Ovis aries: one gene and its partner. The protein of the gene in region 1 purifies or fractionates together with the protein of each later gene. This does not show direct contact. Links are inferred from orthologs where the notes say so. Each region holds a gene or a part of one and is shown on either strand. Other genes may lie near its edges.

Region 1 (3,648 bases):
AATAAAAGGAGAAAGCATAGACTTGTTACAGAGAAATACCCTGAAATAATTGATTGGAAATTGATTCCTACAAATGCAATGTCAGTTACAGAATACTGGTTTTTATTGGGCCTATGAACCATCAGTGGTTACGGGTAAGAAACGTAGGATATCCTTCCTTAGCCATACTAGGAAAACTCTATCAAGAGAGTATTTCCTTATCCAAAAGGTTTAGGGGGCCCTCAGTACCCAGTGAAGCCCAATATGATGCTACATTTTGTGTTTGCCAAGAGGAAAATGAATTAACAAGAGAACCTCAGAGCAATCTGTACTGTCAGCCCTCCCAACTTGAAAAGGTGTTTAGGGCTCTTCCTGCTCCAAGTTGGCATGGTGTCACTTTCTGTTTTGATTTAGATTTAAGAAGACATTGAAAGGTTCTAACCAAGCAAGCATTTCCTGATGCCTAATTTCTATAACTCTATCTTAAGAATTACTCATTAGAAGAAAGCTCATAGGGAAAAGAAGGCACCACATGCCATCATACTTACTATTTAAATTCTTTGATAAGATTTTTGTGAATCTTCATGCAGAAATCCTCCACCGTGGTCCTGGAGTAAGGCAGCACCACTGGGGATGTGTAATCGGGCAACTGGCCCTTGGGTTTGGTGTAACTAGAACACAGAGGGAGCAGAGGCTGCTTACTTCTTAGAATGCTTCATGTGTGAACACAACTCAACCCTCCATCAACCCAGAGATCAGACATGGATAACCTCTATCTTGAGGGAGAAGGTGCCCTCAATATGGCCTTGCAGATGATAGGAATTAATTTATTTTTATCTCCAAAAACAGATTATGTTAATGAGCTCTAGCAGGTATTATTTTTGGATAGTCTGCTTTAAGTCCTACAGTAATAATACCCTCTCCACTAAGACTTACATCCTCACTAGTTTCAGATAGTCCCAGATCTTTTCCAACAGGTCATCAAAATTCCAGCGGTGATGGGCAGAGATGGGTACACAGTGAGGCACCTTATAGATAATATCCAACTCCTCAATGGAAATCTGATCAATCTTATTTAACACATAGATACAGGGGATATAGACTCTACAGAAATAGAAGAAAAACAGTATGTTAGTCTGGAGCTGTGGACAAGACTGTCAGTCTGACTCAACAGCCCCTCACCTGGGACTCAAAATCAGAGACTCTAAACTGGAATCATGAGAAAGTCAGCCAAAAAAAGAAAACGTTTCCTACCTAAATAAGGTAGAACATGCAAAAAGTGAATTATCAGTTAAGTAACAAAACTCAAGCCACAGTCCCTAGTCATGCAACTAATTACTGAAAAAGCATGCTGCAGTGTAAATAACATAAGCTTTAGAGTCACACAGAATGTATTCCCAGCTCTGTCACTTTCTAGACATGTGTCCCTAGGCGATCTCAGTTAATTTCCCAGTTGTTTTATGAACTGTAAGAATGTAAAACACTTCTAATAATATAATAACTTCAAGAATTAAAAAAAAAATTTTTAAACACAACATCTAGCAATGTCACAATCCTAACTGTTCAATCAATAGGGCAGCTAAGGTTACTAATAATTAGGCGAGCTACAACTTCTCAGGCTTCAGTTGCCTCACTTATAAAACACGTAACTCAAAGCACCAGTTTTTGTCTGTTTTCAAATGCCAGAAATAACTTAACAGTACTTTCAATTATTAATTTCAAATAGTAATGTCTCATGTTATGTAAGATCTCAGTTATGTACTCTTAGAGAAAACAGATACAGCCCAGTCTGCTCTAAGTTCTGCAGAACAGCCTATAGAATTTCTCAGATGGATTAATTCTGTGAGAGCAGACTGAGGACGTACTCTCTTGAACCACCATACAACACAGAGCTTAGGGGATAGTCTAGTTCATACCAAGTAACTGAAACAAGCAATTTGATAATCATCATCAAACTTCAGAGCAAAGAAGGATGTCAGCAATCAAGAACAACCCTTTATTTTATCAAGAAAGCAAGGCCCACTATTATCTGAGATAAGAGCACAACCAGAGTTAGAACTGATGTCTGCCAGACTCACAATCCAATGTTGTTTCCATTACAAGGCTTCAAATTCAAACTCAGGCACCATTTAGTCAGTTACCTATTTCCTTCCACCACGTCAATGAGGTCATCTGCTGTGGCGTCACTACGCAGGGTCACATCGGCATTATGGATTTTGTACTCAGCCAGAATGCTCTTCACAGTTTCAGCATCCAGCTCACTCTGAGGGCACTGAATGGGCACAGAAAACAACAACTGGTCAGAGAGCAAAAAAAAAAAAAATCTAAAAGTATCTGTTGATGTACCCAGATAAGTCTAGATAAGTGCAAATTTATTTCTAAAGACCATTATCCTAGATGAGACAGGCTTTGAGTAGGAAATACTTAAAATCTAAAGAGGTAATTAAATTAAAATGTCATATGGGTGGGCCCTAATCCAATATGACTCATGTCCCCCCTTACAAGTTTGGAACACAGACACACAGAGGGAGGATCATATGAAAACACAGAAGACAGCCATTTATAAGCCAAAGACAGAGGCCTCAGAAGAAACCAGTACGGCTCATATCTTGATGTCAAATATCCAGGCTCCAGAATCAAGAGAATTAAATTTCTGCTGTTTACACCACCCACTCTACAGTACTTTACTACAGCAGCCATAGCAAAAATACAGAAAGAAGGCTCCAACTCAAACATTATGAGACGATAATAAGAAAGATCTCTGGGGCAGGACAGCTTAAGTCTATGCCAGTCTGGAGCTCTAGAATATTAGATGTTACAAGAAATTCTCAATCCTCAATTATATGACTTAGAAGGAGCATTTGATAGAATCTATCACTCTTACCAATCGGAAACACTTTCTTTAATTGGCTTTCAGGATTCTAAACTTTTCTGATTTTCTTTCTTGACTGAGAAGTTTTATTTGCTGATTCTTCCCATCTCCTGGCCTCTAATCATTGTGAGAGGGTGGAGGAAGGTATCACAAAGCTCAATCCTTGAAACTCTTCTATTTATACTCCATTTCTCAGCTAAGTGATCTCAGCTAAGCTCATGGCTTTAAAATTGATAACCAATAAATTTATACCTGCAGCAAGATCTTTCCTCAAATGCCTATTTGACAGTAATATCTGGATGTCTAACTTGAGTGTTACTGGCATCTTAAACTGAATATCTGATCTTCCCCTCCCTTCCAAACCTATTCTACAATTAAATCCTACCATTTTAGTCACGAGAGTCCATTTTCTAGCTCATAACAAAAACTCACCATCACCTCTTTCTCTCACAACCCACATCCAGTTTAGCTGTTAATTCCTACCAACCATTTCCAAAATCTTTCCACAGTAACTACTCCACATCTCCACTATTACAACTCTAAGAAACAATCATTTCTTGACTAGATTATTGTAATAACCTCTTAAATGAGTTCTGTGTTTTTCCTCTTAACCCATTTCAGTCTGTTTTCAACAAACAGCCAGACTGATTCCATTAAAACCTGAATCAATTTTATTCCACAGACAGGAACCCAACCATCTTCTGCAAAGTAGAAGTATGTATGGCCCTATGCTATGACTTCGTTTCTTGCTACTCTTCTACTTGCTCATTCTGCTGGTCTTCAAACAAGCAAAGGCA
Region 2 (3,748 bases), on another chromosome or scaffold:
AGGCCAAGTGGACTCCCCGGCCCTGGCCAAAAGGGGCCACGGCAACTCTGCCACAGCGTCCCTCCCGGCCCGACCACCACCCAGGAAGGAGAGCGCCAAAGCCAGCTCCTCCACACCACACAGCAGCGCTCCCCCTCAGACAAACTTCTGCTTCCGTACTTGAGTCTCTCCCCCCACTGGACTGGGAGCTGCCTGAGAAAGCAGAGGCAACACCCTGGAATGTACCACTGTATTTCTCTCGCATTCCACACAGCTCACAGGTATTCAACAAAATTCCCTGCCGATCAAAAGAACAGAATAATTGTGGGACAATTATTATCATTATTATTATTAATTCGGGGTGCACTATCCCCCTCTGCCCCGTTGTTTGCCTTTCCTCCCAGCAGACATGGCTCCTGGGCGCAGGGACACTGCCTCACACACCCTTAGCCTCAGACCTGATACAAGGGGGCGGTTTACTAACTGGTTGCTGAAGGAATCAAAGAAGGACCTTTGTGCGGCTACAGCCATTCTGCACTTTTCAGAAAATCCTACAAAGATGTACCCGTTCCAATGTGATAACACTGAAGCCCTTTACTGACAGTATGATTTTTTGCTTTACCAAGAGCCGTACAACACGATTCCTTTAAATGCCAAGGCCCCCTGAATGATCTCATCGACAGGAATCCCACTGACAGGCAGAGTCTGGGAATAAGCCAGGGAGGCACATCCGGGCTGGGAAACGGCAAGGGTGACTTTGCCATTTGTTCTAACAGCTTAGATTCATTAGTAAACATGACTCCTGGGGCCCTGTCTACACTGTACCTCCTGGCATCCAGACTGGGGTGGGCAGGAGGTCCCTAGGAGGCAGAGGGGACAGCAGTTATTGATCAAACTGCAAGAAGTCCTCCTACGCTTGGTCCAGATCACAGGAAGGAGCCACGTGGCCGCAGGGATGCGAAGGGGCCTGGGCACAGTCTGGCTTCGTGAGTGCTCTGAACGAGCTCAGAGGAGAAGAGAAACCCTTTGCTCATTAGCGAACTTCTGCTTCTCAGAGTGGAATGTGTCTGGGCATCCTTCATGGTCATCTCCCCACTCCAAGGTGTTCAGGGTGACTGACCCTGAGCAGCCGCCCCAGCAACTACTCTTCTTCCAGCATCCGTGACAGAGAACGGTGTCTGAACTGTCACTACCTGTCAGTGGAATTCTTGTAAATGAGATTATTCAGGGGACCTTGACATTTAAAGGAATCATGTCGTAAAGGAGGAAACAAGGAAGACGCAACAAAGACAGGAGGAGATTAAACTCTGATGGTGAATGAACCAGGTCTGAACGCTGGCTCTGCCTCCCACTGGCTATGCAAGCTAAGACATAACCTCAGTTAAGCAGGTGTCTTTATCTATAAAATGGGAACAATATTGACTTTACAGGAGGGCTGTGATGATTAAATGTGGATATAAAAGTGAAAAGTGATCCAGACACTGCTGGGCACATATTAATCTTAAAAAAAAAAAAAAAAAAAAAAAACAACCTCTGTCCAATGATATGCTCATCAATTCTCTCTGCTAAGTGTGAAGATCTAATGAGAAAATGTACTGAAAGGCCCTTATACACCGTGGCGTGTTGATCACACCTAAGGGATTATTCCTGCTACTGCAGGTGGTCAATCCAGTCGCTCACATGGCTCTGCCAATGGCAGCAGAGGGGAGCGAGCCTCCAGCCATGCAAGCACAGAAACCCTCAAGGTTTTGGTGACTCCAGGGCTTCTGGTCGCCACCAAAGCATGCCACATGTATTTACTTCCAACCCTCCCATAGTCCCTGGTACACACAGAAAAACCATTCACTAAAATGGAGCGATGCACACACACAGGAAACCAGGAACAGAACAAGGACAGAATCCAGACTTCTGACCCCCCTCAAGGTCCCCTTTCTCCCAGGGGCTCAGGCCATCTCACTGAGCAGACTCTATACATCCAGACCACGTGCAGTACAGCCCAGCCCCACTGGCAGGGCCTCTGACACCAGCTGTTTCTAACCCTTGTCTTACAGACACACCAAGATCCAGAGAGGCGCAGCTGACTGGGCAGCAGAGCTTGGGCCTTCAGATTTATGGCAGCCTCTCTGCCAACAGGCTGACCTTGGCTCCAAGGGCTCGGGGGGCCGGCGGGCTCTCTTTTGAAATAGCACCTCTGTTGAGCCGTCACTGGGGTCGGGTCCAAGGTGAAATATGAGAGCGACGCCTGTGTAACGGGCACGATACCCTGTGCCCGACTGTGATCTGAGCGGTTTTCCTGAATCCTCACACCCACCCTCCTTTGCGGGTGCGCGCCTTACCCGTCTGGCACAGGGGAAACTGAGGCTCAGACAGGGAAAGGAACTTGCGGCGGCGGGAGTCGGCGTGGGGCCAGTGCCCTGATCAGGCTTGCGGGGTCTCAGCCTTCCTCCACCCCGGGACCCCGGGGGCCCAGGGCCGGCCGGCGGACCTTCCGCGAGCGCGCACGTGGGGCCGAGCCCGCTCGCGCTCGGGTCACGTGAGGAACCGGGGAGGCCTCAGGGCACCCAGGCGGTTGGGGTCCGGGGCCTCCCCTCTCCCGGCAGCCACTGTCTCCGCCCCACCCCGCTCCGCCTCGCGCTACTCACCCCGGGTGGGGGCTCCCGGGACGCGGGAGAAGAGGACGGGGAAGCGGAAAAGAGGGGGGCGGCGGCGGCAAAGACCCCCCACCTGCCCACGACCAGCTCCGTCCAACCTCGGCTAGAAGCGACACCTCGCGGCGCGCGCCGCTTTTGCCCACTTACGTCACTTCCGCTCTTCTGAGGGCGGGGCCGCCTCGGGCTCCGCCCCGCGCGCGACTTGTCCCCGCCTCTCCCCCCCCCACCCCGCACCCTTGGGCTTCGGCCCTAACTCGACAACTTCCCTGCGCAGAGCTTATCCCACCTCCGGCTTGTGCACCAGCTCACTTGGAGCAGGCTTAAAAAGAGCATTTTGTGGGTCTTCCACTGGGTTACAAAAAAAAGAGGCGGGGGAGAGAGCCTTATTCAAGCCTTAACTCTACCCATAACAATTAACATCCTTAAAATATACAGATCCAAAAAAAAGTAAAGGAAAAATACCCTTGACAATGCCAAGGGGTTGCCACTCCAAATAAGCGGAACAAGTCCATGATGTTTCCATTTCGAAAAGGTTGCCCTTTCCTAGGTTCCTCCCAAACACAAATTCTGAATTGGTCCCTGAAGCAGTCGAGATGAACATGTGAGTTTGCAGGTGGAAGACCTTGTGAACCTCTCCAAGCCTCAGTCTCTACTTCCGCCAGATGCACAGAATAATTGCTCATTTTTCAATGCTCGAGGGTTACATCTGTGGGATACTGTGAGTTGAGCCTTCAGCCCTGTGTGTGGAGCCTGCTGTCGGTAAATAGAAACTGATTCATAATATTGGTCACTGTATTCATGTATAGCATAATATTCACAATATTTATCATAAATTCTTTTTTCCTAAACTGATATCCTGGCTTAGAGTTACAGTGCCTCCTGGACACTGCACACAGGAGGTGCTTAAATTGTGTTTGCTCTAATGAAGTGAAAGCTATAGTGGGGCAGTGGGGTGCCCTGAAAAGCCCCACCGTTTTTTGTTTTTTTTTTTAATATTTATTTGGCTGAGCTGGGTCTTAGTTGCAGCATGTGGGCTCTTAGTTGTTGCATTTGGGATCTAGTTCCCTGACCAGGGATTGAACCTGGGCCCGCTGCATTGGGAGTACAGTTTTAGCCAC

Evidence for each region. The genes of interacting proteins can lie anywhere in the genome.
Region 2: the proteins of DRG1 (region 1) and NTMT1 purify together in Homo sapiens (affinity purification with mass spectrometry; 3 studies listed by BioGRID and IntAct, counting the BioPlex papers as one, with this or other methods). This does not show direct contact. The link is inferred for Ovis aries from reciprocal best matches to the Homo sapiens genes DRG1 and NTMT1.

Annotation. Positions count from the first base shown.
Region 1 is NC_056070.1:70,085,697-70,089,344, reverse strand, and holds part of DRG1 (developmentally-regulated GTP-binding protein 1), read right to left. Parts: intron 2,252-3,648; coding exon 2,121-2,251; intron 1,084-2,120; coding exon 916-1,083; intron 651-915; coding exon 528-650; intron 1-527. UniProt on the Homo sapiens protein: Catalyzes the conversion of GTP to GDP through hydrolysis of the gamma-phosphate bond in GTP. Appears to have an intrinsic GTPase activity that is stimulated by ZC3H15/DFRP1 binding likely by increasing the affinity for the potassium ions.
Region 2 is NC_056056.1:6,888,837-6,892,584, forward strand, and holds the start of NTMT1 (N-terminal Xaa-Pro-Lys N-methyltransferase 1), read right to left. Parts: upstream 2,768-3,748; 5' UTR 2,704-2,767; exon of another isoform or gene 2,622-2,703; intron 2,484-2,621; exon of another isoform or gene 2,316-2,483; intron 1-2,315. UniProt on the Homo sapiens protein: Distributive alpha-N-methyltransferase that methylates the N-terminus of target proteins containing the N-terminal motif [Ala/Gly/Pro/Ser]-Pro-Lys when the initiator Met is cleaved.